Linked DNA regions of Struthio camelus. Each later gene encodes a partner of the first gene's protein in a complex. Links are inferred from orthologs where the notes say so. Each region holds a gene or a part of one and is shown on either strand. Other genes may lie near its edges. The genes, in order: QRSL1 and GATC.

Region 1 (16,235 bases):
CATTTTTCCTTCACAGTATTTTTTGACATTTACTCTAGATGAATTAATTCATTTGGTTTACTCAGTTTAATTGCAGGTAGAAATCGCAATGAGTCAATACCTGGCTCAGCCTTTTTATTGGTATCATTTAGCCACCTGCTTTATCATGGCTCAGGCAAACAGTGGCATACCACTAAAAATTCTCCTGTGATCCTCTTAAGACCATTACGTTTATAGTCTAGTAAAATGGAAAACAGTGATGTAATCATCCAACTTGCACATTTTTTTCATATTGTGAGGAGAAAGATGTTGTAGCATGAGAAGACATTGATTAGCATCCAAATCCCCCCGTATTACATGAAAGCATGAAAAGAGGACATTTCACAATTAATGGTTCAACAAAAGAATACGTTGACTAGCCAAAGTTTAGAGCTACTAGAATGAAGAAAGACAAAAGGACAGCAGAGGAAAGACAGCAAAGGAAATTAATTTACAGCTTATACACACTACACTTGTACATCTTACATCCTTTGACCATCACCACCAGCTACAGATATTAACATATGAGAGAAAATTGAAACTGCGATCATCTACTTTTTCCACCAGATTTTCTACTTGCACACTAAGTTCTTTTCAGATTTATGGAGCTGAGCTGTGAAAGGGGACTGAAAGAGAATGAAAACAGGCTACATATTTCAAGATATACAAGTTACAAATTTGCTGCACCCAAACTATGAAATGTGATCTTTTGCTACGTACACTCACAACACCCTTTTCTGAAGCTCCCCGCTTCCTACCTTAAGCCAGTAAAACATAAGTATGGAAAGGAACAAACTCAAAATATTTCACTTTTGGAGCTCTGGCAGATTATTCAGTATCTTGTATTTAACTATCCTTTCCCTCAGTTCCCTTCCATCAAATTTTGTTCATGTTGAATAATTTCAACATGTGATGAAGGCACATCTTGGGCATGCCACAGTATATTACCTGTACAGCAAACGTACCAACTCCTCCTGAAGCTCCTAATATTAATACTCTGTAAGAGAAAATTAAAATTTATTAAATAGCTATTTAAATAAACTGAATAGGAAGTCAATCCCATTTTATATTCTAATGCTTCTTATACATCTCAGACATCAAATTGCTTTAAGCAAAAGATTATACTTGCCATTCACAATGACTTAGTGGTTAACTCTTCAGACACCTGGTAATTAATTGCTCATCTTATGCGCAACATTGCTGATCTTATTTCCTGTGCCAAGACCATTATCTCAGCCCAAAGAGACTTATTCCTATGTGCTTTCCGCTTTATCCAGCCAGTGGAGCTGTCAGGCAGTAACACTTATCACCAAAAAGCCCGGTCAGGAGTCCATACTTTCCCAAGCAGAATTGCTTAGGTTGGGACAAATCAGATAAGAGTCTCTCCGCCCACCAGACTCCACCGGCATTGCCCTGTCATATTTCCCAGAGGAAAAATCAAGTTCATCAACATTTAACACAAACTGGTATTATCCAAGATAAAAAGTGGTTTAGTTTCACAGTATTTAGAGAGAGCAGGAACTGCAGAATATACGAAACATAATTTTCCCATATCATGCTATATCTATCTGAAAGACAGACAAGTAGCAGAGAAGCCTCACCATAAATAAGTTTATTAAAATAAGGTATCTGTCCCTTTCTTTAGGAAAAAGGCAGTAGAATTTTTTTTAGCTTCATAGCTTTCAAAAATGACCCTGTAAAATCCCAGGTTGTGGGAATCGGTAAACAAGCAAGAAAATAAAGGAGTCCACTACCTAATTATTAGAGAGTTCCTCTTAACTGTGTGAAATAAACAACTCACAGTGACTTATGGAACACACTATCCTAATTTAATCAAAATGAATACAACTTTAGTGGTGTGAGAACCTTACCTCCTACAGTCCAATCACTATTCAAAAGCTTCATCTAGATATTTTTAATAAATAGCTAGACTTCAGGAAGGACAGTAGTAAGAAAGTCTTGCAACTGAAGCTACAAACAACCTGACAAGCTTGGACCCATTTGCTAATTCCAGGTCAGTCTTGGCATTGGACTGTGGAGCCCCATGTTGCTCAGAACTTCAGTTTTCCAACAAAATTTCAGTATTTTCAAAAGCAGGTGGTGTTCCTGTTTTAAATCTCACTGTGCTGGGTGTTGCAGGAAACTGCTTGTCCAAAGCGCCAATGCGTACTGTACAGTCTCAGTTTACAAAAACTCTGAAGTAACTTAAGAGGCTCGGCTTTGGTCACAGTATCCATTTTAAAATGTTTTCTCTTTTGTAATAGATTAGATTCTGCTCCCTCCTATTTCACTGATTTAAACCGCAAAATTCAGATTGAGAATTTCAAATCTCAGTGCCTGCCACTGTTCCGTCTGCTAAAATGCACTTATACTCAGAATCATACTTTTAACGAAAGGCGGCTAAAGCAACATTTATATTTAGATTTTATTATCCTACAAAAAGCACTACAGTATCCTACACTCACAATACTGGGTTGAGACCATCTTTATCCTTACAAAGGACGGTCACAACTAAATCCCTACAAAAGGTGAAATTCCATTACATTCCATTACTACAAAAACAGCAAATTCCTTGTCAAACAGTCTTCCCAGTTTTCCTTCTTGCTTAAATACTGGAGAAAGCTGTAGTCTGAAAATGTACATTTTGCTCAGTGATTTATGGAACACTTTCGGTTTTGGGGAGCTGCTTGGTTACAACTGCTTTTTATTTCCCCTCCCTCAATAAAAGCCCTCGAGATTCTTGAGGGAGAAATACGTTCTGGATTAGTTGTGTTCCTATGCTACATGGGCTATTTTCTACCAAAATTTCCTCTTACTAAAGCTTTCTCCATATAATCTGAGTCGAAAAAAGCTCTTTGCTTCAGAGAGAAACTACGTTTACACTCTTAAAGGCAGCTACACCACAGAGCCATCTGCCGCCCTCCAGGCCAAGTGACCCGTGCATGACTCTCGACTCGAGCCCACAATGCTTCCAGTTCACCTGTAGGAGACTGCCCTCATCCCTGCCTACACAGCCCTTGCCCTGGGCTGCCTGCAGTGCTGCAGTGGCTGTTACACATTTGCTTGGCTGTTCTTGTTTCTTTCAGCTCAAAGTCTTTGTAATTACAGGAGGCTTGTGGGCCACAGCTCAACACATCAGCGTTTTTATAACGCTGGGGACACAACGCATGCTGTTTGGCGTAAGGTAAAGAAGTGGGGAAGTGTTTGAAGGTGCAGGACCTGTTAGAATGGTATTGAAGGAACACAGAGGGTGTAAAGTGCCAAATCAGGCACAGCTTTGTTTGTATTGCCTAAGGAGAACATAGGCAGGAGAAAATGATCTCCGAGGAACTACCTGAGTCACTGCAAAGGCGAACTCTGAGAGTGAACTAACATACAAGCACGTGCACAAGTGGACCAGGACCCAGGAACAAACTAACGAGTTATCTGACCTGGCCAGAGACCCAAGAGGAAAAAGTTCTCCCAGAAGAACAAAGACACGTTCATCTCGCCTACCATAAGCTTTGCTCCCTTCTGGTGGAGGAACATAATTCAAGTAAGTATCTACCAATATTTATTTGAACTTTTCCATCCTCAGCATTCACTAAGTCCCATATGATGCTCTAGTGGTTCAAATGAGCACAGAATCAGCAGATCTCTCCTGATGAGTATACCATGGGATCTACGAGCTTAGCACTTCTCTCTGGACCCTGCTCTGAACTATGGCACGGCCAGAAAACGGCATCGGAGAACCAGGACCTGTTTCAGCTGTGCTCAACAATGAGAAACAAGGCTGGGGGAGCAGGGCAATGCAGGCTAGAATTGTCTACACTCAATTAACACAACTTTCAGTGGCTCAACCACATGTGCATAAATAAAGCAAAGGTTTAACAGCAAGAGATGTACCTGCCAAACTCTACTTGATTACATCAACAACGTCTTCTTGGGTATTTCTTCTTGTTATATCAAGAAGCTTTTATCCTATCAAGAACTGTTATACCCTACACTCACTTTTTTCTTCTCAACAGATGAAACAATGAAACAAAGCACAGACTTTTTGAAAATATTTTCTTGCGGTATTGCATCATTCAACTTTTCATTTTAACAGCATAAACCAAGGGAAGTTTAATAACTTACAGTAACAGAATCCTAATATATTTCCTCCTGGTATTCTGGTATACTAAGTTTTTTTACTTAGTATTAATGTAAAAGTTTTCAAGAACTTTTCAAACTGTCAGATTTTTTTTTTTTATCATGCTTTTTGTGAACCCAGTAAGACATTTAAGAGAGTTATTTTTGAAGGAGCGCATCCTTCCAGTGAAAGAGGACCCTCACAAATATGAGAAGCCCTCCAAGTGTTATCCACAGAGAACTTCAGAACTGTAGAGTCATTATGAACATTTTGGATAACAAGAACATTCACTTTTAGCTTGTGAAAGAATACACATTACAGTGATACAGGATAAAAGTTAAGAAATGACTAGAGCTGTAGCGAAGCAGGAGACATCATGAACAATTTGAATACGCTTCAGGTAACCATGGGGTCATGAAACTCGCAAAAATAGTATCTGTGAAAGTAAGTGCAAATGCAGTAGAGACTATTGTCAGATCAGAATATAGTCAGGTATTGGACTAAGAATATTTCTGGTTAGCCCACCCTTCCACCTTAAAGAGGCAAAGAAAACAATACACACCAATGGAAAAATCTCGCTGTTTCTAAGATGTCTTAACACTGCAATAGAGTATCAGTGAAGTAGTTTTCATCAAGGAATACAGATGCTCTTTCAAAATAAGACACACTCTTGTGTGTATATACACCCTTCTACATAGCTATATACATACACCTACAGGAGACAAAAAGACCAACATAAAATCACATATATGGGTACCTTCTTGCCAATCAGACATGTTAAACTATTTCAAGAAATTAAAAAACACTATGTACATTCTTACCCTATGAAATTATTGTCTTGAAATAGTAACGTAAAGTTCATAAAATGTACTTTTGCAGAGACACTTTAGTGTTACATATATATATATAAAAATGCATGAATATATGTATTTTTTCCATTTTCTCCAAGATTTTTTTTCACTAAAAAAGCACCTCACATAAGCCATTCTCTGTTGGTTTTGAAACCTAAACCTTCAAGATGGGGAAACATCATAAATTTTTAAATATATGAAAATGTTTTTTGCTGATAGAGTAATTAAATATTTGTTGGGAACATAAAAGTAAATGTTAAATATAAATGCAGTTTACATCTTACTTTTAAAAAGTTGAACACTTATGTGAACATTGTAAAGACACTTTAGGAAAAGGTTAGCCCATCAACATATCTTTAGGTTAATTATATTTATATGGGAAAGTTAAGACAGCAAAACACAGTGTGAACACTTAAGAAAAAAAGAGATGGTAAATCTAGGATGTTATCACGAGCTGCACATAAACTTCAAGGAAGTCTTGCAATTTATTTTCTCAAAATATTTTTTAATCTGCAGAACAAACATTTGCTTTACATTTTCCCTGATGGAATTTACTGTGGCATACTAAAAACCATTCACTTAAGTATCTTTTAAAGATGCGGATGAAGACTTGCAATAAATCTAGCGTCCTTCACAATGTGTTGCGCTGGAACACTAACCCCAAGATAAGAAGAGGTCAGACAAGCAGATTCCTAGTGCCCAACCTTATTTCATGATCTAAACTTTTGGTGCAGTGTAGTAGTTTTAATGATTATTTTTCAATTCCAGTATTTTTTATTTTAGCCTTCTTTCCATTCTCAACATTTTGCTATCTATTTACATAAGCACCTAAAGGCCAAAATAACGGCAAATTTCAATTATCAGGTGAAAAATGGTCCACCTGAAAAATGGTCCAATCTTTCAATACATTTTTTCCTCCTCCTGTCCTTCACCTGCCACTATCAGATTAACAGGCTGATAATAAAGCCACTTTTTCTATTTGTTTTGGCTGCTAGTCTTGCATGTTTTCCCCTTCTCTTCTGCCTTTCTGACTCCACCAAAGTTCTGTCCCACACGCCAAATGAGACCCCATCATCTTCTCCTTTTTCCTAAAAACACGGACGACCAGTCTGATCCAAATGTCCCAGGGCATGCCAGAACAGAGCAACTGAGTGAACCACATCTCTGTGGATGAGAGGACACAAGATAACTCAAAGAGAGAATATATTTGGATAAATGGCCTAGCATGCAGCAAGATAAAGTCCCTATAAATTCCTAGGGGCACTACCGCTACATTTGCAGTATAGTCAGCAGAGGAAGCTTGCTCATCAGCAAGCGGCTAGAACACTTCAGTCAGGCTCCTGGTCTGAATCTCCTTCTAAAGGAGCCTCTCTCGTTAGTTGTATAGATTGAACTCAGCACCTTTAGGCCAGCTGACCTTTTTTAATATTACAGTCTTCATCACTGTCAGATGTGCCTTATAATTTGCTAATCAATATAAAAATGGAACACTAAGCTTTAACACCAAAACTAGTTACTTACCTTTTCCCACCACAATTTTTGTCATTCAGTCCTCCAACATTGTTAACTGCAGACCATGCTGTGAGACCTACGTATGGTAAGGAAGCAGCTTCCGTGTGACTGAGACACTTGGGCTTAAAAGACACCTGAAATAAGACCAATTGTATCCAAGTCACAGAGCAGATCCTATGTACCACTGAAATACTTAGACAAGCTTTATTGATTTGCAGATCATGTACTCCACATTTCCAACTTATCTTGATTATCCACAATTAGCAAAAGATTGTAAATCAGTCTAAGCACTAAGAATTAGTTACTTAGGCACAGAAGAAAAATAATGTAAATATTAACAATTTTAAGTTTTGTCTCTTGGCTATATTTTTGAAGGTTTACCTCATTTCCACTAGCTACAACAAACTCTGACAAAGTGCCTTGTTTCCATGGAGGAATTGCTGCCCATACCTAAAAACAAAGGGAAAGCAACTATCAATTTTTGTTACTTTGCACAACATTGTAGATACAGAGACAAGTTTTCTTTATGAAAGAAACTTTCTCCCAGTTTGCAAAGTCTTCACTATTGCTTATCAGATAATAGTTTACCTTACTCTTTAAACAAAAAGCATGAGAAGAATAACTAAATGAAGGACTGCTGAGCTGCATAAGCTGTACCACACTGTGCACAGTATATATATTCCTTAAAAAAGGAAATTACTTTCACAGAAGGAAAGCCCAGATTGGGGAAGGGGAGAAAAAAAAAAAAATTTGCTATACTGGCACTAAGTAGTTGAAAGCAAATCATACCAGGATTTATGTGGGAGTTGAAAAGTCATTCTCCAGCTATGCCAGAGTTCCTACTATTACTACTTAAGTAACCCAAGGCAAAAAAAAAAATAAAAAAAATCCCTCTTCCAGTTAGAATTCTATCTTCAGTCAAAATGAAGCAGCATCTTGAGTTTGCGTAGTTATAAATAAATTCCCCTCTTTCTGCCACTAAAATGGACCAAAAATTTAAGAAGTTAGGCAACTTGTCGAAGCAAGTTTGGGAAAAGGTGGGATGGTTTTTGTTTTTTTTTTTTTTGTTGTTGTTTTGTTTTGTTTTTTTAAAGAGAAAGAAGGTAGAGAAGAAAGCATTCCAAAGACTTTCTGCACAATACTCTTCGTGTGCAAAATCACAGGAGAACAACAACAACAACAACAACTTAAGAGGGAAATGAAACCTGAACAGGTCATGCTATATTTTAACTATGCTTTTTTAGGAAAAAAGAGATTAGTTATATCACCTCATCTCCAGGTTTGAAATAAGACACACTTAGTCCACATTCCATAACTACACCAGACACATCTCGACCAAGCGTTAGTGGAAATTCATTCTCCACACTATTCAGTTTCAGGGGATCCCGCTTCATATTCAATGCAGTGGCACCATAACCACCTACAAAACATGAAATTAATCATAACATGTCTTATTGCGTTTTCATTTAAGAACTAGAAAATTCCAATTAGAAAGCACTGTCTGCACCTGATGTATCTAGTTTTCAAAATATTCTTCATTTTGATAGTAGCTTAAGCAGGCCCAAAAAGTGGAATATTTTATATTTTTACAGATTTTACAAAAAACTCAAATTTTAACTCTGACCTATTTCTTCTTTCCTCCCCTACATAACACACACTATGTGTAAAAATACAAATCACCATAAAACAATTTAGCAAGTTATACTATGATCTTATTAGACACTACACAAAAAAGGCTCTTTGTTATAGAGGGATCTAATATGTGGCAACACTGTCATTTTAAGAAGCCTGCGGGAAATGCTCCACTGTCCAACAACATCACAGAAATCCAGAAGAACTGCAAGCTTTCCATTCCACTTTTTCATATAAAATACCATAAGCATAGCAACATGAATATCTTTGTAAAAATTAAGGAACATATCCTAGGATGAGAAACCTTAACTTCTATTCAATAAGAAAGAGCTAAATGCTGTGAACTCCTAGGATTATGCACATAGCAATTCTGCTCAGCCTGACAAACCTGTATTCCAACATATATGGCCTTTCAAACGTCTGAGAAAGCCTATTTGCCTTATTATGCTAAGCGGTATGTAAAGACACAAACGCAGACACCTTGAAAGCAGGATGAAAGCAGGATGAAAGCATGGTTTCTTCCAAACGCTCTCTCGCTGGCACAAAACACAAGCTGTGCCCCAGAAGCTCAAGTGGCTCATTCAGCCACAACCCTCAGATAAGGAAACGTTGCATAATCAAACCCATAATTAAAAAGGCTTCTTAATTTATTTGAAACCCAAAATACAAATCACAGCTTTGTCAGCAGGCTTCATGCAGATATCTCCACACGGGTTACTGAATCTAATTTGATATGTGAGGTCACATCTCAGCATGAAATGCAAGATCTTCAACGACTGCGACTTCCTTCTCATATTTCAAAACTTGAAACTGAGAAAACATTCTGATTAAACATGCCAAATACAAAGAGTCAGTCAAAGGTACAGATTTCCCGGGCTGGTTGACAACAGCTACTCAGCTGCCGTTTCAGGAATACGCAAGGCACATGACAACGAACGTTGCGGTTTGCACTAGCTGGTACAGGCTGAATTTGAGGTGACCTTGAGCTTCAGCCCCGTTGATGTTCAGGAGATGGGAAAACTCGGTGCATCTCTCAGGGCAAACCTTTCCCCTTTGAAGGACTAGGGTCTTGATCAAGAGAGTGCTACCTGCTAGCACCCAGATGGTAGGGAAGGGGGAAGAGGCCAGGAAATAAAATCCCACCATGGCTATGCTGCTAACAAGTCAGTCGACTTGCGCGCCTCCAGCCTGCGAGAGGCCAGCAAACGGTTACCCGGACCAAAAACGGGTAACCCACCCCCACCTTTTTGCCTTCAGAAGGGCAACGGCCTTTTTAAGCCTGAACTACAGGAATCTGAGAGAGGCGGGCGGGCTCCGGGCGAAGCGCGTCTCAGAGCGGCAAGCCTCGCTGGAGACGGGCGCGACTGAGGGACGCTCGGGACTGTAAAAGCCCCCGGGTACGTCAGGGCCGCGAAGAAACCACACCGCGGCGTTTCGGGTTATTTCCTCAGAGGCGGCGGACGGCCGGGCCTCAGGGTGAGGCGCGGCAGGAGGCGGCACTTACTTCTCATGCTAAGGTCTATGGGGTTCAGGCTCGCGGCGTGCACTTTAATCACCACCTCGTTGGGGAAGCGTATGGCGGGCAGCGCCATGTCCCTGGTAAAGCGCAGCACCTCGTTGCGGCCGTACCGGTCAATGACCCAGGAAGGCATGGCGGTCCGCGCCGGCGGCGAGCTGCGCAGCCCGCGGCCCGCCGCCCCCGCCCGGCGCAGCAGGCCGCCGCCTCGCCGCCCGGCGCCGCGCAGCCCCGCGGCCCCCCGCGCTAGCATGGCCGTGGGGGCCCGGCGCCTTCCCGCTCAGGTGGGGCGACTCCGCCACCCCCCTCCGCGCACCGCCGTCGGGGCCTGCCCCGCGTCGGGACGGTGCCGTACGCCGGCCCCAGGCGACCTTCCGCGGCCAATGGGCGGCCGGCTTCTGCGCCGCCCCGCCAATGGCGCCGCTCGATGTTGCGGCAAGATGGCGGCGCCCAGGCGCTCGCCCTCGCGCTGCCTCGGCGGAGACGTGAGGAGGCAGGGAAGGCGCCGGCATGCTGCGTGCCTCCCTCCGAGAGGTGAGTAGCGGCGCCGAGCCCTCTCCGGGACCCGCCGGCGCACGGGGAGCCGAGCCGAGCCGAGCCGTGCCGTGCCGTGCCCGGCCCTGCCCCGCCGCAGTACGGGGCGGCGGCCGGTGGCGGCTGCCCGCCGCGGGGTGATCTCCGTTAAGGCCTAGCGCTGTGGGTCGGGGGGGGGCGGCGCGTGCCCCAAAATGGCGGCCGGTGGCGGCGGCCCCGGGACCTGCGTGGCCGATGTGGGGAGGCCTGGCAGCCGGCCGGCCGGCGGGGCGGAACCGGCTTTTGTACCTGGGCTGCGGGAGGCTCACAGCGGGAAACGTGATTTCAGGTGTCGGCGGCGCTGAAGGAAGGACGCGTGAGCCCGGCGGAGCTCTGCCAGCGCTGCCTCTCCCTCATCAGGAGCACCGCGTTCCTTAACGCCTACGTTACCGTCGCGGAAGAAACTGCGTTGAAGCAGGCTGAAGAGTCAGAGAAAAGATACAGGAGAGGTGTGTTAGCTCCTTGGTATCTGGCGCTGGTCCTTCAAAAGGCACCACGGGCGAGCTCTCCTTGTTAAATGAAGCACCTGTTATTCTTAAAGCAGGTGTACGTGTTATTCCTCTGGCTCTTAGTGGATGGGGGTCACAGCGGTGAACTCTGTGGGTCTGCGCTCGTCGTTACCCAGGAGCGTATCCGCTTCAGCCGTCCAGGGCGAGACCTGCTCTAAGCCAGTTAGCTTACTTCAGTAGTAAGCAGTAGAGACGAAGTAAGCTCTGTACCTACCGCACACTGCTGCAGCTGGCTGCCCCCTCTTTCCCTCAGGAGGTTAGTTTAAATCCATAGCGATTACCACACACAACAAGATGTAGCGGTCTTTGTAGGCCCGTCAAGCAAGACAGTCACATCTCCTCCTAGGCACATCAGGTTTTAAATTTGAAATAGGCAAATAAAAATAAAGCAACTCTGATAATCTTCAGTTGTTTGTTGGTAAACGGACGAGCATTAAATGGTGTTGTCTACAGCAGCTGGAGGTTGTTGTGTCCTCACTGACAAACTTCCCTTCTTAATTCTCGTTTGCATTTCCTGAATGATAGAAAAAGGGCATTTTCACCTGATGGGGTACTCTTTTTTTTTTTTTTCTCCTTTCTGGGTGATGCTTGCTGACCTGTGACAGCCTAAGAAAATTGCCAACCAGAGTATTTTGCTTCCTGGTGTAGGCACTTTTTTTTTTTTTTTGGCTGGGTGGTGATTAATCAGTCACCTGGGGAAGACTCTCTGCTACTGTCATTTTTTTAAGATCATATCTACTGTGTATGTCAGATAGGCAGAATTTATGACTCCTAGCCTAGGAATGGAGTCGATTTAGGCAGTACGTAAGGCTGACAAAGCCATTATGTGGTCATGGTTGAAGAAGTAAGCACTCCTTTGGGATTACTAACCTGTCTGAAAGCAGCTGCTTGTATTGAGGCTTAGGAAAATTTGCAGAGCTGGGCTCTACAGAGATAAGTCTGATCCGGGCAGGCTTAATGCTAGTGTTAAAACAGAAGACGGTTCTTGAAAATGTAACAGACAGCCGTCCCATCTGATGTGGACAGCATTCTTACTTACAAAAAAATCAAAAGTGAACATATCAATTGTATCTTACTTTATAAGAAGAACATACATATAGTACACTTCAATTTAATCCCTGTGGTCTTTGTGATAATTCCTAATGCAGGTCAGCCGCTGGGTGTTCTAGATGGAATTCCTATTGCAGTAAAAGACAACTTTAATACAGCTGGCATTGAGACAACATGTGCATCAAACATGCTAAAAGGTACAGTCGAGCTTTTTAAGTAAAGTCAGATCTCATTTCAAAGCCCTAACTCTCTTCTTTAAAGGGATTGTGGAGCAGACTCTTCTGGAAATTTAAGTATTTTCAAAAAATAAACTGAAGTCATTTCAGTGTTTTTCTGCTTTCCTCTGCCAAGCTGTTCGGTATTACAGGTGCATCTTTTTCTGTTATAAACACATCCTCTTGTTTATTTACATAGTTACGTTGCTGTTAATAACGCAATGTTTATTGTAGCCAATAAATGAAAACGTAACCACTCCCTAGCTCACATTTTGCTTCATATTAGCTTTAGATTTACAGGAGAGCAGTTGGTACTTTTTGCTGTTGTCCTGTCTAGCAAAATGCAAAGCCTTTTTTTTTGTTGTTGTTGTGTTGATAATTCTGACTTAAATAGTTTTTCTATATTGCTGTGAGACAGTACTCATTCCAGGTTTTTCTCTACATTCCTTGATATACAAACATATCCTAGAAGTTTGGTCTTTTTTTTTTAATTTGTTCAAATTTCATAAGCTCGTTCTTTCAATTAAGAGTCCGTGAAGATTTTCAAGAACTTAGAATGTTTCCTTAGTAAAAGCAATTGAAAAAAACTGCTATCCTATATCTTTGTTATAGGATAGGTCAACACAAATAGACTCCCTAATTTCCGGTTAAGGAGATAGCATTTCTTATATCAGTTTTATTCCACTGTACATACAGAGCAAAGCTGAAAAACTGAGGAAACATAGGATTCTGCTAATTTATTTGAGCTAATCTGATGACCGTGTTTTTTGTAATGAAAGAAACAAAAAAAAAAAAAAAGACTTCCCCCTTTTAAAAGCTTCATGTTACCTCACATGCTTTTGCTTATGCACATTTTCAGACCCATTGTGACTGATTGCAGTAGCATGGCAGAGAGTATTGGGAGCGACGTTTTCTTTTTTGCTAATTCCAGTTCAGGGTGGGGGTAGAGAAATTTCTGTCAGCATTCAAACAGGGAGTTGGTTGCTACCCAGTATCTTATGCAAGTGATTTTTTTCTCATCCTAGTTTATGTAAGGTATAAGAGATCACACGCTTGATCACAGGATAGCCAGTTAGAATTTCAGCATGTGGCTAGCTATACGCTCCTTTATCTCATAATAACGGCAAATGATGCAACGTAACTTAGCACTCTTCTGGAAAGAGCTGTTTCTCATTTGCTGTGAGGTAAGAGTATGCATTTTAGACAGTTACTGCGAATTGGCTGATTCCAGTAATTTGCTACCCTTGTCTTGTTTGTGTGAAGTCTTAGTTCTACAGTTTAGGATTGTACAATGCAGAATTACTGGAGTGTAAATTGTGGAAGAAGAAAAGCATTGTCAACACAACAATATTCGTTTACTTTTGATGAATTTTGAGAATTACTAGTGTTATCATGAAGCAGCGTTTTAGCACGGTAAAGTCACAATTCTTAGGCAAAAGCAGTGGCAACTTTGGAGAGTTCGGAGGAATAGTTCTTTCTGAAAATCATCCGTATCTCACCAACCAATCTCTTAACTGTTCTGATTGTTTTCAGGTTATATTTCTCCTTACAATGCTACAGTAGTTCAGAAATTATTGGATCAGGGAGCTGTCCTTTTAGGAAAAACAAACCTAGATGAATTTGCAATGGGGTGAGTGATGTTTATTATTTTTAATATGTGATTGCACATTAAATAGAATATACACCATCTGTTCTGATCTATCTGTAATCCTTAATTCTTCTTAGTGTGAGTTAAAAAATAGTGAATACTTATTCTCAAAGAGCGTGTGGAGTTGCATGAATTTCTCCATGAACAATTGTACAGTTGTGTAAATCAGATAAATGCTGATTTTTTATGAAAGTAGTGTTTGACCAGAGCTGTGTTTGAGCGGGAGGAAGTGGTACAGCCCTTTCAGAAGGCAAGAAGGTATTTTTTTTTTTTTTTGATCCAGCTGTGTTAGTAGAATTGGTTACTACCCCAGTTGTCTGTTGCCTTCCTCTCTCTGCTTACTGGTGATGTCTGACCTTAGCTAATTATTACGATGCCCCTGATGACAGTTACTGCCTCTGCCAGTCATCCACTGGGATAATTTGTACGAGTTCTTCCTGATTTTCTGCAAACGGGCTAATCCAGAGCAATACTTTAAATTGCCTAAGCTAATGTTGCTGGCTTTTGTCAGGAGCAAGTTGGGAAGTGTTTTTACAAATGGATTCTCCAGCAAATCAGTGAAGGCAGCAAGCTATGGCAGGGAGTTGTGGTGGACAGTTAAGGATGGGAGACTGCTGGGTCTGGAATAGGTTGTCTGGAAACTTAGTTGCCCGTGAGAAGTAGTAAGCGTTGTATTTTGTTTTGGTTTTTGTTTTGTCTAAACCAAAGACAGAACTGATTGGGAATTCAGACAATTTGCTTGAAGTACTCTGGCTGTGTTGTTTTGGATAAAATCATTTCTTTGTCAAAAAGAAACTCCTCAAAAGAAAGGCAGGGAAAAAGCGCAGAGGAAAACAACTGATTATGCAGTGATGCAGCTGGTCTGAGCTCATCAAAGCTCCAGATTCTGCAGAAAAGGATTGTTCCGCCCCTTACCTCATCTTTGGACTGTGTGTTTGCATGGTCTCGCTTGTGCCAAAACCAGCGTGGCTGCGCCGTGAGCTTGATCAGGGAGCTGATCCAGCTCAAAAGTCATATCTTGGTAAGGTTAGTTTTCACTGTGTCAATTGCCTGTTCTGTCTGGTGGTTTGGCTAGTAACGTGGGCAACCTAGAGTCAGAAAAAACGTGAAGTAGATTTTTGGGAGAAAGGTGGAAACCACCCCCCACACGCACACTTCTGGTAGCAGCCCACCGTTAGATTGGTGTAGGCTAACTGAAGCTGCACCCTGAGAAGCCGGTCTAGCAATCTAACCAACAGACTGTGGCCTCAGGAGAAGGCTACGGAGGGAGTAATAGCATTTTATTTACAGAGCAGTGCTCATTTCTGCTGTTGCAGTGCTTTTTTTTATTTTTTTTTAAACCTCTACCAGCATGGTTTTATGGTTTTCCACAAGACTGTGGTCATATTCTTTTGTCTTTTGCAAATGCAGAGTTAGGAAGCTGAAGACCTTTGTTTTGTAGCAGATACGCAGCTTTATTGTAACGTGGCTCACAGTCGTTTTTGCTGTGTTATTACATTAGTTTCAGGGGCATTAGCACATGTCAGAGTGAGGTATGAGTTCATATTTCCATCAAAGTACTGTGTCAGAAAGGGGTGAAGATGTAAAAACTTTGCGATTCTGTGCAACGTTGTTGGAGCTGATTGCATGAGGATATACATACGGCTGTTTTTCCATGTTGAAATTGAAATTGCTAAGGTGAAGAATGAGGAACTGCATGAAGAAAAAGTCGTTGAATGGAGAGTGTCATCTGTCACTCTTGTTTGTATTTATCCTATCTGAATATCTTAGATCTGGAAGTACGGATGGAATATTTGGACCAGTCAGAAACCCCTGGAGTTATTCAAGACAGTACAAAGAGAAAACTCTACCAAAATCCCATTCTGAGAATGAAGAGTCTAACTGGGTGATAACAGGAGGAAGTTCAGGAGGCAGTGCCGCTGCTGTATCATCTTTCACATGTTTTGCGTAAGAGGCTTTTTAGAATTGTTTTTAATTATATTTCTCAAAATGTGTTGCAAGGTTTTAATTTTATAATTTCTAATAAGCTAGTTCGTAGACTAAGTTTCAGGGAAAATGTTTATCCTGTTTACAGGATTATTTGCACTGGTACACAAGAATTTGTTTTAGCATCTCTAGTTTATTCATGGCATGACATGTAGCCAGAATGAGTCCATGTAGGTAAATTTAAGCTTATTAAATTTAAGTGCTGTACAGCATACTGGTGCAAGCATTTTGCGCTGCATGAAATAAAATACTAATGGCAGTAAAGAAATGACGTTTGATTGTTTTTCCCACATACTTTCTTAAAAACAGCATAGGATTTGTGACATATTCTCTACATCGATAAGCCTATTAGACTCTAAGTCTATAAGAAAATGACAAGATTCCTCAACTGATAACTCTGTAGTAATATCTCCTCCTATTCTTTGTTGTATAGCAGGGTTATGTAACAATACAAATGCAAGAGATTTGAGAACTAAAAGTTTTCAGATCCCTTTATCTGTGCAGCTGGCTTCCTTTAGGTAACTTAGATGTTCATCCATAATTTAAAAAAAAAAAAGAAGAGAGTTAAAAATAAACAAGCTGGCATTTTTTTAATACTTACTATCTGCATGGAA
Region 2 (16,387 bases), on another chromosome or scaffold:
TGATATATTACATGAAAGAATATGAAGGTGGATCAGTGGAAGAGGTAATCCTGATGTAAAAAATAAGACACTATCAAATACCAAAGTATTTATTAGCATTTTACACTGCAAAGATATAGCAAACTTAACTGGGCAATATTTTTATACCAAGATATGTTTCACAACAGCCTTCCAAGATGCCAGACCTCTCACCATTTCTGTATGTTACACAGTAAGATTCAAGCCCTCCCAGTGAACAGAATGAAAACATACTTACTTCCCAGCAGCAAACACAGCTTCCTACCGCCTATGACCATGTTGGAACAGCAACCTAGCCATGCCACAAAGGTCTTACCACAGAAAAGGTGATCAGTTTTGTGGAACTGCATTGAACTGGGCCTATACTACACATAGCCAGAGCAGCAATGGGTAATATCATAACCCCAACCCAGGAGATCTGGCTATCCAAACCGAGCTCTTGGGCTTTCCTTCTGCTCTTTGTCATCTTTCACAGGTGCCTATCTCATCAGATAGCAGAACCACTTTCTCCTCTTCCACAAATGAACATACCTTGTGAGGATGGAAAATGCACTTCCTCCGTCATCGTTCCCTCACAGACCAGACCTTGCCACTGTCCTTACCTTCAGGTCCCGTTTCTTTACTTTCTTTGTTTCTGTCTGTACAGCCAGTACAGGAGTCCTCTTCTTTTACTTCAGAGTTGATGAGCATTTGAAAATGTACTCTCCACCTACATGGCTTCTACCAAAGGTCAAACAGGCAACGATCAGACTCCAATAAAAAGTTATTATAAAAACAGGATCCAGACACTTGCAAATTAATTACAATGAACAGTTCTTCTGGAGATCTTGTGTCTATTCAACTGAGGTGGTTTTTATTTCAGCAGAATTCTCCCAGGAATCTACATAATTAAAGACACATCAGTGGTTACAAAAATGCATTTCATTTATGCCAAACATCTTTTTACTGCCATGATGGAAAGTTTCCATATCCCAGTGATGAGACTGGTCCCTAATGTGAAAAAGTGCTGTCAATGAATGCAACGGCCATTCTCTGCTGCCATATAAAACAAATGCAAATACAGCACTGTAATTACTCCATTGACAGGAAATTCTACCCAGGATACCAGCCTGACTCCTAAGTCATCTGTACCGAAGATACACAGTCTCTGAACCTCAGCTACGGACATCAACATTGGGAAACTTTCTTCCCTTAGTCTTTCTCTGCACATGGTGCCAGATATCGATGCCTTTCCTCCTTCTGCTCTAGAGAACAGTGTGGTCGCTGCTCCCATCCATTGCTGCACTTCAAAGTGCAGAATAAGCCAGCACAAAACCACTGTCAGCGGCCACAGGCACTCGTTGGTTTTGCCCCTCGCCGTGCCTCATCCTGACAGTCCCTGGTGCCCGCCTGCAATCTCCTTCCAGGAGTTCCTACGTTCCCACCCCGTCGCTGCTGCCCCCCGCCTCTACACCAGCTCCACGAGCCCTTCCAGACTTCTCGTGGCTCCAGACACCCCCAGCGCTCCACTACACCCTCCCGGCGGCCCGGCCCGGCCCGGCCCCAGAGCTGCGACATCGCCCACACGGGAGCAGCCGCCGCGCCTCAGTGCCAAAATGGCGCCGGGGCGCCGGAGCCCCCTCGCCCACCCGGCGCGACGGACGTCACGCGACTAACGGTTTCTCCCTTCCCCCTCCCTCCCCCCGACTGAGCGGCCTAGACCAGGGACAGCGCATGCGCAGCAAGGCGGCCCGGCCCGCCGCGGCTCAAGGTCAGGCGCGAGGTAGGCGCGCCAGCGCGCACGCGCGGGCGGGCCGTCCTTGCGCAGCTGGTGTGTCCCCTGCGGGCCGCCGTGGGTTCCGGTTCCGCTGGGCGCCGCCGAGGCAGAGGGGATGGCGGCGCTCGCCAGGGTCTCCCGGCTGCTGCTCGGCGCCGCCGCCCCGCGCTCCTTGCCGGGGCGCCGCATGTCGGCCGCGGCCCACGAGCCCGGCGGAGGTAACGGGGCCCCCGGGGCGGGGGCGCAGCCCGGCGCCGCGGCCGAGGCACCGTTGCCCTTGGCGGGCGCCGCCCTCTGCGCGGCAGCGGGCAGCCCCCGCTGGCGGTCGGAAGCGGCGCGGCGGCCCCGGCTCGCCCGCTCGGAGCCCCGCGCCCGGCTCGGGGACTCAGCAGCCCCTGTCGTTCCTAGCGGCTGCACGAGCGCGCTCGGCATGCTCTTGGGGCGGCCTCCGCGGAAATCTTGATTGCTGCTGCTGCTCTAATTCGGGCAATTTGTCTTCTCGCTTACTAGCCCGCCTGTGGAAGCTCTTGACCTTCGTGGTTGCTCTTCCTGGAGTTGGTGTCTGCATGCTGAACTGCTACTTAAAAGGACAGCACGAGCATGAAAGACCCGAGTTTATTCCTTATGCTCACCTCCGGATCAGGACCAAGGTATGTTCCAGTGCTCTGTTCAAAGACCTTCTTATTTCCTGTGACTGCAGAGCTTCATCTGAGGTTACTACAGCTTCTGTGGCTTTCTTACCTACAAAGTGAGGTGCTGCATACATAGGCATGATTTTAACTTTGTTTCTGAGACAGCAACGGAGGGTCTCACAGCTGAGCTGAAGTACCCATCGCCTTTGCAGGTCTAGAACTAGCCTTTTGCTTCCCCAGAGTAATCCTGCTGGGGCGTCACTGAAAACGCTTCAGCCACAGAGCTGCTTTAGTTACCTTACACAAATACAGAGGCTAATAGAGCTGATCCTATGATCCCAGATTCCCAAAACAAGGGTCCTGACAGTATTGATCTTTGATGTCCTGGCAATGACCTTATTGTCTAGAGACAGCTGTCACCAGCTAACGGAGACTGTTTTCCACCTTGCTCTTTGTACAACCTGGAAAGCAGATGTTAGCTTGCTTATTTCACCAGCCTTTCAAGCTGGGAGATGTTTGAGTCTATTTCCTGCTGCAAGAGTTAATCTCCTGTGCTGTAGTAGAGCCTTCCATTAGCTGCCAATGGCGTATTTTCTTTCTTCTTTCAACAGCCTTTCCCCTGGGGTGATGGGAACAAAAGTCTATTCCACAATCCCCATGTTAATGCTCTCCCAACTGGTTATGAAGACGAAAACTAAGATCTTGACCATAGCCACAACTTTGGCTCCTTCTGCATTTGGACCAGAATGTTGTATGGGAACCATCGTTTAAGAAACTCTGCATTCCTTCTACTATCAAGTCGAATGGTGTCGCGACCTCTGTTATGTGCTTGCGTAGAGGTCCTTTAAATAAAAACTCCTAACTTGAATTCAGGATCTGACTTTTTTTTGTTAGTCTGTGAATCCTTAGAAGTTTATTCTGCTTAAAACGGTGACACTCCCCCACAAGCAATAGCGCAGTAGCAAAGGGCTTTGAATGACTGAGTGTTACACCTGCTGCTGTACCTGATAATACTGATGTTAGCAATCAATATGTTTGTCATGAGTATGAAAGCAAATAATGCATGATGCCTGGTCTACCTGATCACTGTAAACACATAGCTCACATTAAAATGAACAGTTTTTAGGCTAACACTCTAGATTAAAATTCAGTGTATACTGAAGCAAATTCTGTGTAATCAACTACAGCAATAAAAAAAAATGTTATTAACACAGTCATCAAGGCAACTGTCTCTCACCCAGCGTGTTCTGAGACAGGAGGCGGCGGCAGTCAAAGGTGTGTAATTAAGCTCTGTGCAATTTCACAGTATTAATCTCTAGCTCTGGAGTTTCCTCGTATGCTATAAGCAGTGCACATAAGTTACTCACAGCTTTACAAAGAGCATAGTTGTGGTTTAATTGTACAAAAGTCTCTCTTACGGCCTTTGCAAATGAAAACACACTTTTTGCTCCACTGCATCTTTGTAATATGCACTGTGTCACTGAGAAGCAACTCGGCTCTGCAGGTTAAAGTTTAACGTTTCAAGGAGAGACTATAACTTTATTTTCCAAAGTCAGTAGCCAAGTCTAAAGCTCTCTGCCTGTCCCAATACAGCATTAATTTTGAAGAGTTTCCTCTCAACAAGTCAACTGTTTTCCTATTCCCTCTGCAACTTCCATATTCTTTTGCATGGCAGAACGCAGAGAGAACTTATGTCTTAGCTGTAATTATTATCATAATTTTTCCCCAAGGAAGACTACCACAGCTGACTTGGCATCCTGCTGCTGAAAGGAGTGATGGAGAGTAAATGAGCTAAATGTAAGAAGCTCTAAAGTGGGCACCGCAGGACACCTTTTCCCATGTTTCAGTATAATTTATTTCATCTACGTAGCTCAACAGAACACTACAGTAGGATGACTTTAAAATTCTTCTGTATTAAAAGCACAGAACAAGGCACTAATGGGCTTAGTTTTTTGTAAAGTTAACTGCCCAAATAACAGTACATTTATTCCTGTATGAAAATGATTACGGAAAAGTGAAGTGGTTGTATAGGTTACTCCTTTAAAAAAAAGTTTCACACTTGACAGTCCCCAAAACGCTATTTAGAATAGAATATAGAATAAAATAGAATATTATTCTAATAGAATAGAATGTTCCCCTAGCATATTTCCCATAAGAGAAAGCTAATTTTATTTATACCTGAGTGACCCAGCAATTTTTAAGTGTCACAGAACAAGCTGTTAAGTGCTTCATATAATCACTGTACAGCCTATTGAGCTACCTGCCTAACGCACCTGAGAAGGGAGTGTGCTGAAACCAGACTATAGAGCAGACAGCACGCAACAGCTGCTATGTTTAGGCCATCGCTGAAGGCACAGGGAACGAAGGCCCCACTATGCTGCAGTTTCTGATATGCAGCACAAATCCTAAGCTAATTTTAAGCATGTGAAATCGTTACTTAGGACCTGCAGCGCAGACAAGCCAGCTACTGTGTTTGAGAACTGCAAATGAATTATTTTGTGTGATTTTTTTTTGTTTGTTTTAAAGTAAAGGCTTTGAACCATGTCTCAGGTAGTCCTTAAAAAGCTAAGAATGAAGCTCATCTTTTTTCCAACAGAATTACAAAGCTGACTTCTCTCTTTTATTCCCAGCTCAGAATGATTTTTTTTAACTCCCTCACCTGTACTGGTGTTCTAGGAGAGGACAGCTTTAGCCCGTCCCTATATGAGGATCAGTGGAGATCTCCCCTGCCACAAGGCTCTGAGGGCTCCTGGATGAGACAGGGTGGGTCCCGGTCTGGATCCCTCACCCCTCTTCCGAACACCTTCATTTTCCTAGTACCTGCAAGGAGGAGCGAAGCTCTGTCATTGAATGTCTCGGGACAGAGGAATTAGAAAACGGATTTGGAGAGAAGAAAAGGCTAGTTCCTGATGACTTCTTCACAACCACGTAAGGAAACACCTGTCATCAGGAACCTTCCATTCTTTCCAGAGAGAAGCCTCCTCAGCCCTTCTACTGCCATTCAAAGGCAGACAATTTCAGGCAACTGTTTTAGGAAAACCAAAAACCAGTGTCATTGTCGTGTTACACAAAGGAGTTAATGTACCTACACCACGTTCAGCTGGGATATCTGATGAGTTAGCCGGCCATCTCACCCTTTCACAGTCACTGCCACTACAGAATTAATAACTTAATCTGTTTCTGTAGTTTACGAGACAGCATATTGAGACAAAGAGGTAACAATTTTAATTTGCTTTACTAGGTGCGAACTACACGTGGTTCGGGAGCAGCTTTGCGAGCAGGTGAGGCGGCCCCAAGAGGCAGGACAGGCAGCTGGAGCTTTAACCATATCAGCTGCCAAGCTTCAATCCAATGTTGCCCTCATTCAATACACGCTTCCAGCTACCCCGAGCAAAAGTGTAACAATGATCATGGCCAACCCGGGGCTTGGTGGGAGAGCGTGTAGAACGACGGCCAGGTCTGCGCTGCAGTTTTCCTGCAGGGACAGACAACATGAAAGGAAAGAAAATTCAAGTTGCAGATTGTTTCAGTACCTCGGAAAAGGCTGGGGAGTACCCTCCACAATCAAAGGCTCCTCTTCAGCAGGCTGTCTCTGCTGAAGATATCTCTATCTCTTTGAGGTCATACTCAGATTCTACTGGACAGCTATCTACTAGAACAAAATATAGCCTGGTTATCAATATTTATTTTAGCTAGGATATTGCACACGGAGCATAAGTGCTTTTATAACATCTCTGGCATCGATACAAAGCAACGTGGTAGCCCCTCAGCATCCAGGATATCAACCAAGCCCCTTTCTCCACAAGTCAGCAGCACAGAGATGAGACAAAGTAAACCAATCGCCTTCATGCTCTTTTTAAATGTTCTGACGTGTTATATAAATAAGCAAGAGAAATCGGTTACAGATCAGTAACTCAACCCATCCTAACAGGCATTCTCCCATTACAGAGTACATTCACATAGGAAGTTAGTTAAAAAGGCTTTTCACAGTTAGATGCTGAGTCACCACCAACATTCATCGAAAAGGGGGCAGTAATTACCACGTGATCCGGGGTGGTGGTGGTGGTGTTTTTACAAGCAGAGCAGAGTACTTGCTTCCTAAAAGGCTACACAGAGAAAGCAGCTTAACAAAGGCCTTTTCCAGGTGGCATCTAGTCTTTTTGTGTGGTTAGGTTCCTTAGTCCAAAGGCTCATGTTAGTGACTCCACGGGAAGAGCTGAAGTCAAGAGGAGTTCTCCGTTTTCCCTTTGCTTGGGCCCATGAATTCCAGGCCTTCAATGGGTATGTCCTTCTCCTTGATTGCTTTCTGGGGAGAAGAAAAACAAACACGCACCTTTACCGCGCTAAATGATGTGTTGTCTGGGACAAAGCAAGACCTAAGGATTAGTAGGCTGGGACGGCTCGGGACAAAGCTGTAATACTAAAGGTGCTCGAAGAGGCGCGGGGAAGCAGCGCTGGGCTGCGACCTCGAGCCCGCCGCAGGAAGGGGCGGCGAGCGCCGCGCTAACCGGCGCGGACGAGCCTCGCCAGGAGGACAGGGACGGCCGGCACCGGCTGCGGAGGGGACGGGAGGGAGGCGCCGGGCCGGGCGCGCACCTGCACGCAGAGCTGGTAGCGGCGGAAGAGCTGCCCGCAGGGGTCGGCGGCGCGCTCGCCCTTGAGGAAGGTCTCGGCGAACCAGCGGTTGAAGCACTGGTCGTACTCGCGCTTCAGCTCCGTGCAGGCCTCGCCCACGCTGTTCATGATGGCGGCGGCACCCCGCGACCCCCCCGCCCCCCGCCGCCGTCGTGACGCGCTTCCCGCGCGCCGCAAGTGCCGCCGGGTGACGCGGCGCGGGCGCTTCCGGCGGCGGCGATGCGGGCGCTGCGCGCGCTGCGGCTGCTGCGGGCGGGGCCGGGGCCGAGGGCGGCGCACGGCGGCGGCGCGCGGGAGGGGCGGCGGCTCCCGCAGGTACGGCGGCGCGCGAGGCGCCGGGGCGCGCGGGGCGGGGCGGGGCCCCCGGCACCGGCACAGCTGCTGTCCCCCGGCACAGCCCCGGCACCCGGGACAGCCCGGCCCCGACACCCGGGACAGCCCGGCCCCGGCACCCGGGACAGCCCGGCCCCGGCACCCGGCACTGATGCCATCCCCAGACAGCCGCTGTCCCCGACACCCTGGGACAGCCCGGCCCCGACACCCGGCACTGATGCCATCCCCAACACCCGGGACAGCCCGGCCCCGACACCCGGCACTGATGCCATCCCCGACACCCAGGACAGCCCGGCCCCGACACCCGGCACTGATGCCATCCCCGACACCCAGGACAGCCCGGCCCCGACACCCGGCACTGATGCCATCCCCGACACCCAGGACAGCCCGGCCCCGACACCCGGCACTGATGCCATCCCCAGACAGCCGCTGTCCCCGACACCCGGGACAGCCCGGCCCCGGCACTGATGCCATCCCCAGACAGCCGCTGTCCCCGACACCCGGGACAGCCCAGCCCCGACACCCAGCACTGATGCCATCCCCGACACCCAGGACAGCCCGGCCCCGGCACCCGGCACTGATGCCATCCCCGACACCCGGGACAGCCCGGCCCCGGCACCCGGCACTGATGCCATCCCCAGACAGCCGCTGTCCCCGACACCCGGGACAGCCCGGCCCCGACACCCGGGACAGCCCGGCCCCGGCACTGATGCCATCCCCAGACAGCCGCTGTCCCCGACACCCGGGACAGCCCAGCCCCGACACCCAGCACTGATGCCATCCCCGACACCCAGGACAGCCCGGCCCCGGCACCCGGCACTGATGCCATCCCCAGACAGCCGCTGTCCCCGACACCCGGGACAGCCCAGCCCCAACACCCGGCACTGATGCCATCCCCGACACCCGGGACAGCCCGGCCCCAGCACCCATCACTGATGCCATCCCCAGACAGCCGCTGTCCCCGACACCCTGGGACAGCCCAGCCCTGACACCCGGCACTGATGCCATCCCCGACACCCGGGACAGCCCGGCCCCAGCACCCGGCACTGATGCCATCCCCAGACAGCCGCTGTCCCCGACACCCCGGGACAGCCCGGCCCCGACACCCGGCACTGATGCCATCCCCAGACAGCCGCTGTCCCCGACACCCTGGGACAGCCCGGCCCCGACACCCGGCACTGATGCCATCCCCGACACCCGGGACAGCCCGGCCCCGACACCCGGCACTGATGCCATCCCCAGACAGCCGCTGTCCCCGACACCCGGGACAGCCCGTCCTCAGTTCGCAGAGCTGGAATCGGCGTGTCCGCACTCACGGCACCCTGCAGACAGATCCATTTACCTCGTGTGTGCAGGGTGCCGACAGCTCCCTGGTTGCTGCGACACACGCAGGTAGATCTTCAGTGGCTGTGGAGTGTCACAGCTGCGCTGAAGTCCACAGGAACAGCTCTTTGTCGCAGTCGGGAGGCGAGCCCTGTGCGACGAGGCTCTGGGCTTGTGGAGAGGAGAACCAGCTGCAGCACGCAGGCCTGGAGCCCCCTCGCCAGCTCTCCCCCACGGCTCTCCGAATTAGCTTTACAAGTGCCAGTTCTTCCGCTTGTCCTCTGCTACACAGACAGTGACGGGGAGAAGGAGGAAGGACTGGCTTGATTAAAGTCAATTTTCCATTCTGATCTGTGACTTCATCAGAAAGGGAAAGGAATAAAAGAAATCAAGATGTTCTAACAGAAGTAAACTCAGTTATTTTCTAAACAAGAAAAGCTTGTTCCATAGCAAAGATGTTAGCGACAGTATCTGGAACTGACTCATCTTTGCCCGTTTTTCCATCCGTCTGTGGCAGCCTATTCCCAGGATCCAAGCAAGGGACTGTGTCTTTTCTTACAGGAAACAGTAACGGTGGCCGTGCTGGATCACTTGGAGCACCTAGCGCTCGTTGATTTCCGCAACGCAGAGGGCGTAGAGCGGCTGCAGAAAGCAATCCAGTTTGCTGATCAGCTTCATGAGGTAAACACAGAGGGAATACAACCAATGGATTCAGTACTAGAAGACAGGTGAGGAATCACTGTTAGTGGCCTGCTTTGAACTATTCATTTGTCAAAGTATTTGCTCTGAAAACTTTTTTCCAGAAATATCCTAGCTATACATTTGGCCCCTTTGCTTACAGAAAGCCTTTAATGCGGTGGTGTGCGGAAGAAAGAGGCCAGATTAGTGCCCACAAGCTTAACACGTTAGCACAGCAAAGATGCACTCCAATCCTTTAGCGCTGTCTTGCTATTTATCCTGAAGGACCTGCACGTGCTGTTCCCCCAGTGTCTGGCAACAGCTTTTGAAGTTGCTTCAAAGTGTCCTAGTACTTGTTGGTCTGCTTGCTTGAGACTGAAAACAGCTTTAGAGATACTCAATGCTTTGTACTTTAGTAACAACCTAACAGGGCATGTTTAGCTCAGCTTTTTACAAAGTTGTGCTGCCAGTAATCCTACATGCAAACATGCAGTCCTACATGTACGTCCTCTGACGTACTTGCCTCTGTATGGCCAGCTCCATACTAAAGCTACCACCAAGTCAAGAGGCGTGGGATGTTTTCAAGGTTTCACTGTCGGTTTAGTGATTGTTTAGGTATATTCAAAGCCTGACAGACTAAGTTTTTCTGACAGGAACAAGGCTGCGACTGTTCACTCATTTGCCAGTCGTCTTTAAGGAAGAACTTCTTAACATGTCAACAGCTTATTGAACAGAAACATTAAAAGATAATGGAGATGTGAAAAAAAAAACAGATCCATGGTGCTTGCACGCAACTTCTGTGCTAGCCTTTGTACTTTGTAGTTTAAAGACAGGCTACTACTCTTTGTTCTTCAGGTGTCTGTATCTCAGAGAAGATGATGTTACAGAAGGCAACTGCACAAAGGAGCTGCTGAAAAATGCCAGAGAAAAAATAGAGGAATATTTTGTAGCCCCACCAGGTACTGTCTTGTTTATAAAAAACCTCTTAATTTTGCTTGAACTACCTTTTGCTTGAATTAACCTGAGCAATGTACCCCCCCACACACAACTGAATTTACTTTCAGAAATACTAGGCAGTAATAAGAATGTATTAAAATAGGGAAATAATATCTGTAGCCGTCTATGAAGACACACTTAAATCTATTGGTCCAAAAGGAGTACAGAAATCTTACCCTAAAGATAGTGCGCATATAGACCTTCCTTCATTTGCAGGAAGTCAGACAAAACTTTTTTGCTCAGGACGTGCAAGTTGCCTGTACGTATTCAGAATAAACTGGAGGGGCACATTTGTGTTAATTTGTACTACCCGGAAGGTAACTTACAGCTGGTCTCACACCTTTTTTTTTTTGTTTGTTTGTTTCCTATCAGGTAACATCCCTTTACCAAAGTTAGAAGAAAGAGACACTTTTCTGCAGGGATCTTAATGAAAGCCAAGAACCAGAACGCCATTTCAGTAGTTTATTTGGGAAAACAAGGGTTTGTGCAGCCACAGCTGAAATACTCTAGTGGATATTTTTATCAAAAGAGCACTTGTACTACCACATTTTTACACCTTCCTTCTGTAAATTATCTTGCTATTGAAATATATTCACTGTTCATGAAGCTGAAAGGCAGCATGAAATCTAGACAAATGTCCTTTGTGCTTTTATTTATTAAAGCGTGTCCATGTGTCCATGTTAATCTTTAAGATGCCGAATGGCTTAAAGGTTTTAAAGAGAACGTTAAGTGTGATAATTAAAAAAGAAACAAAACACTTTTTTTTCCTGACAAACATACAATAAAACCCAAATATTTGCACTGTATCCTTACCAACAGCCCTTTCCCAGCATGAATGAGGAATGAACAACTGGAGCCTATGACCAATGCATAAATAACCAGATTGAGATTTCCATAAAGGTGGCAGTTGCTTTGTTCACATTCTGGTATTCAAGGTCTACAGAGAAAGACTTTACAAAACATTTGGCGAGGGCATTTGAGAAATACCTCGTTAACAATCACCTGCAAGAGCAGAGGTTCAGCTCTTGGAGAGGAAGATGAGAACAAACGTGTAAGATGCTATGATGTCAGCCTAGCCAGACAGGTAAAGGATGGAGTCTGCCCATTAGGATTTTAACTGCCAGTGGCAAGCTACAAAAAAATAGAGCCATCCTTCACACTAAGGAGACGCCAAACTCTCAAGCAAGAGTTACATACCAGTAGCTCAAATTCTGTAAGGAAATCTCCCAAGCAAGCGTGCTTAGCCTTCAGCTCCCAGGCAGGACTTGTGTCATAGAAAGCTCAGCGACAGTAAAAAGGTGATCGCAAAGAAGTAGCACAGCTCCAAGAACAAAAAAACTCCACCTAAAACAAACAAACAAGCTCTATGGCTTAGCAGCTCAGAGATCAGGAGACCACCACAGAAAGAGGTTCTGTGCTGGGAAAATGGGGAGCACCACTACAGCGAGCAACAGTTTCATCCTGGCTGACGATACTGAAGTTTGCTCACAGAACCTCCAGCGGCTGGAGGCACGAGGAGCCAAGGCTCATTGACAGAAACCAGAGACCTGCTGAAAAGAGAAGAGTGCAGCAAACTGGGAGTAGTCCAGACCTCTTGCTTTCAAGATATAAAAAAGCACAGAAAACATCTGTGACAGACTTTTCTTCCTGGACCATGTCCCCTCCAAATATATATTTACAAATTCAGAATTATTTATTCTAATAATAACTTCATGCACTGGAAGAGATCATGAGCCACAATGGAATTTTCTTGAGAAATGCTAGAAGAGACCCTTGAAGTTATTGTAATAGGATACTACTAATCACCAGCTCTGAGATTCTGCTTTTATGGCTCTCGAGAGCATGGCAGGAAAAGGAAAGTGTGCTCTTCCATGACTGTGCATGCACATGCTGTTCCCTGGAGGGCAGAAACTTACCCCGTGAGATTGGACCTTGATGTCATCCACTTTACGCAGTACATGTTCTGTGTCTTCTTTGCAAAGAAAAGCCACTGCTCCCATTCTGTACACGCCCACTCTGGATACTCCTATCTTTCTGTACATCTGCATAATGAACTTCCAACAGCTTCACGCATGCAGTCCTTCTGGTCCTGCCAGCTGCCTGATAGAGGAAGTCCCGAGCGAGGCCATCATCCTAATCCTTCTCTCCCATAAACTTCCACATCCTTGCAAACAACAGGTAATACAAATTAGAGGTTAAATATATACATGCATGCATTGCTGCTTAACATCTCAAAAGGCCACTAAGTCTATTAAAAGTATAATAATATGAAAAACACTGAAAAAAATACTTGAAGAGAGTTTCAGTAGTAATGGTATTGGGTTCAGCCATTAGTGGCTTGCTCATAATACTGTATGTGTGTGCAAACTGCTTTGAAAAGCTCCCTCGTAAGCCATTATGTGCTACTTATTTCATGGAAAACCTAAGTTGAGTGAAAAAGACTACAGCTGCCTTTGCTGTTATTCACCAATAAGATGAGCCTACTACACAGGACCAAGACATCACAACCACTGGGCAAGATCCATTTTCGTTCACTTATCTGAGAAGTTGCTGTTTTGGTAAACTTTGAATGATCTGGAATTTTTTTTTTTTAATATCTGTCTAGCAGGAAGTGAGAGAAAACACTTTTGTTCCACTCTTATTTTGTTTTTGCACAGTTACCTCATTATTTGTTTTGGCTTCCATAATACACCTATAGGCATAGATATATATATATATATTTACATGTAATTATATACATATATATTTGATCTCTCTGAAGGGTATTGAATAAAAATCTGTATTTAGTCCCACTAATCCAATTTACTGCAAAGTTATAACACAGTATTACTGTTTAAGTCTCAGGTTTTTTGAGATTTAGACCTTGCGAATCCCAAACTTCTACAACTATACAAGCCTTTGCTAACAGACACTTAGGATCCATGCATAAAGCACAGCAGGGAAAGACTGTAAGTCAGCAAGCACATCCTATGACAAACATGTTAGCAGAGCATTCCCAATTTGAGAAATCTCCACTCGCTCCTATCCGTTTTGGCCTCCTTCTTTAACCATCAGAGAGAACGGGCACGATGTTATTTACACAAAAAGCAAGAGTTTGAGATTGGACTGTGCTGCCTCAGGACCTACTAGCCCAATATATCATCAAGCAACTATGTAAACAGCAGTCAAGCCAGTAATTTGCTCAAAGATGATCCCACATTGCCAAAGTGGCACAGACTGAGCATAACCCCCCCGCCTCACTGGTGCACTGTTGCCACCCAGCCCCCACGCTCCGGAGCTGGAGCGGGCTGCCTGCTGCCACCTCCTTAACACTTCTTCCCCACAGGCTGAACTATGTTAAACGAGTTGAAAACACATGTTTCCTTAATAAAGGGTTTTGCTGCAACTTTGCCACTGACAAGAGAATTACAGCTCTGACTCAGACACCTGCAAACCCCAAACTAAAATGCCTTGGGAAAGGCCAGACAGGCTGCCTATAGGGCAGTCTACATCATGACTCCAGTCCACCTCGGTGGGTGTCTAACGCAGCAGGTGTTGTTCACAAATAGCTTGAAAATCCAATCTTTACAGTGTTCTGCCACTCCATGACTTAGGAACACAGGCAAACAAATAGATGTAGCTAAGGAACTGTGTAATAACATCAACAATGTGACCCTTGCGCATGCTCAAAAGCATACACACTCACTTTAGTGGGGGGGCGGGGGGATCACTACTTGCAAATTCCTCCTAACTGCAGTGAGGCAAACGTAACGTATATTTCTGAAACAACTCATCTTTTCTCAGTGATTAGTAGTTATAGCAATAGAGAAAAAAAACTGTTATTTGACCAAAAAAAGGGTCAGATTCTGAGATTATGTAAGTGTACGTAGTTCCCCTGGAGACCGCGAAGATAGCTTGACTTGTGTCTGCTGAGAATTCCCTCTACCATACAGATACATAGCTTATAAAATTTGCTTAGATGCCCTAGCATATGGATTCCAGCTTTACAAAGAAAACCTTAAGATGGGGATGGAAAAAAGAAAACTGAGGTTGTTTTATTACCAAAAATGATTATTTTATATTTTGATACTACCTAGGAGCCTCAAGAAAAATCTCTGCATTAGATACAGCTATACAATGCTCACACAGCACAAAATAAAGCCACTGCTGCAAGGCGCTTACAGTCTATCCTCCATCTGCAGTATGAATCTCATGGTATGCCTTAGTCATGACCCAATCTTCCCCGGCACCTCCTCTACCGCAGCTATCATCTCCTGGATGTATTTGTTCTGCCTTCCCCTCCAGCTCTGTCCTGAGGGGAATTACACTTTTATGTTCTTGATCAACAAGTAAGGCTTTAATGTTTCATTTTAAAGCCATGTATCTCAGGCTTTAATGTTCCTCTTTAAAGCCATGTATCTCACCCACACTGACATTTCCTGCAGTTGTCATCAAATCTGTTTGTTCAGCTAACCATTTTTTAATAAATGCTTTGCAGTTTGCCTGCAGCTACCAAACGCAGCCACCTCCTCAGAGATTCATGGGTGTTTCTAAAGTTCACAGTGAGTGCTGGGAAGATGGCGAAATGGTTCATTTTTGTCAGTGCAAAACTGTCTAGTACTCAAAGATCCCCTGCAACTGCTGCAGAGAGTACCCTGTTCCGTAAATTCACTGTTCACTATGGCCTCAAGACTATCACAGAGCTTCTTCAAGTTACTAGCACACAAGGTTTCTTCTGACCCTTCATTCACCTGCGGCATTAAACCTGGTAGTTCCCTTAATGTCATAACTTTCAGCACACACTACGGATGGTGGGATAGAAAATAAAGCTGTGAATTGCATCTCTTTTACTTGTAATGCCAAAAACTGGGAGATTAAAGCCAGATGTTATTTCTGAGATACTCCAGGGTGATGTAACGAACCCATTGTCAAGTTGTTGTTGGGTTTTTTTTAGCAGTATATTCTGCAGAAGTTGCCTCAGAGCTTGCAAAAGCAAAAGGTTGCTTGCAGTTATACTGAGTGACACAAAACAGGTAACTAGATTGTACTAGTATAAACATATTTGCATTTCAAGTGCAGTGATGACTACTCCTGAGCTTTTCATTTCCACAGGGAAATTCCATGCCTACCAAACAATATTTTAAAACGTCTCTTTTAAGTCACCCTCTACTATTTGCTATAAGACAAGGAGCAGTCTTCTTACTAACAGATCTCTAACTGTGCAAGACTCCACAGCAATTTTTGAGCTGCTGATGAGAGCTGAAGCAGAAAGTGCCCCAGGGAAAGTGAAACCAACAGATACAAAAGCGCTGAGGAGCCCGCAGAGCATCCCGCTCGGTAAACACCGGGTGAGAATTCAGACAGTTGCAGAAATAGGGTGAGGTTGCAAAACACGCCTTAAATGAGAGATGCAAGTCCGGTGGATTCAGTTTGCCAAAGGGAAGAGTTTAGAGGTGACTTGATCATTTTCAATAAATATGGGTGAAAGATTTCTATTGGCAGTCACTTCCTTAGACTAAAAGCCAGTCACAAACGGAAAGCAGATAAGTTAACATCAAAAATAACAGTGCGCAGTTCCTCAGCTAGGGAGCTCCTCGCGGCGCAGGGCTCCCCCCTCACCGACGGCTCTTCCTGACGGAGGTCCTCAGGCTCAAAGCGAAGGCAGAGAGCACTGGCGGAAGCGCTGCGGCCCCGCGGCCCAGATTGGGGCGGGTAATACAAACGGTCTGTCGGGCCTAGGTACTAACTACGGAACGGTGCTTCACAGAAAGCGCTGGGCGATATCCGGGGGGCCTCAGGGCGCACCGGAGGCGGAATTTCCCCCAGGAACGAGGGCTTTGCTGCCCCGGTCGCGCTGGAGCCGGGCCCGCCGTTCCCCTCGGGCCTCTCCCCGCCCCCACCCGCCCAGGCTGCGCCGCATCCCGTCGCTATGGCGATGGCGCCAGCGCGGTGCATGCCGGGCTGCAAGAAAACGCTGCAGTAAAATGCCAACTGAGAGCTCGGAGGCGGCCAATGAACGCTCGGCAGGCCGGCGGAA

Evidence for each region.
Region 2: QRSL1 (region 1) and GATC share a complex: the UniProt entries of both Homo sapiens proteins name them as parts of the heterotrimeric GatCAB amidotransferase (AdT) complex. The link is inferred for Struthio camelus from reciprocal best matches to the Homo sapiens genes QRSL1 and GATC.

The regions. Positions count from the first base shown.
Region 1 is NC_090944.1:58,705,880-58,722,114, forward strand, and holds the start of QRSL1 (glutamyl-tRNA(Gln) amidotransferase subunit A, mitochondrial), read left to right. Parts: upstream 1-10,016; 5' UTR 10,017-10,150; coding exon 10,151-10,174; intron 10,175-10,462; exon of another isoform or gene 10,463-10,502; coding exon 10,503-10,662; intron 10,663-11,870; coding exon 11,871-11,969; intron 11,970-13,520; coding exon 13,521-13,617; intron 13,618-15,405; coding exon 15,406-15,582; intron 15,583-16,235. Other genes in the region: RTN4IP1 (reticulon-4-interacting protein 1, mitochondrial), read right to left, coding at 967-1,015, 6,502-6,626, 6,874-6,942, 7,761-7,912, 9,629-9,893. UniProt on the Homo sapiens protein: Allows the formation of correctly charged Gln-tRNA(Gln) through the transamidation of misacylated Glu-tRNA(Gln) in the mitochondria. The reaction takes place in the presence of glutamine and ATP through an activated gamma-phospho-Glu-tRNA(Gln).
Region 2 is NC_090958.1:7,925,925-7,942,311, forward strand, and holds GATC (glutamyl-tRNA(Gln) amidotransferase subunit C, mitochondrial), read left to right. Parts: upstream 1-7,260; coding exon 7,261-7,356; intron 7,357-9,258; coding exon 9,259-9,425; intron 9,426-10,230; coding exon 10,231-10,334; intron 10,335-10,743; coding exon 10,744-10,799; 3' UTR 10,800-11,055; downstream 11,056-16,387. Other genes in the region: COX6A1 (cytochrome c oxidase subunit 6A1, mitochondrial), read left to right, coding at 1,890-1,992, 2,285-2,424, 3,018-3,104; TRIAP1 (TP53-regulated inhibitor of apoptosis 1), read right to left, coding at 6,629-6,712, 7,003-7,149. UniProt on the Homo sapiens protein: Allows the formation of correctly charged Gln-tRNA(Gln) through the transamidation of misacylated Glu-tRNA(Gln) in the mitochondria. The reaction takes place in the presence of glutamine and ATP through an activated gamma-phospho-Glu-tRNA(Gln).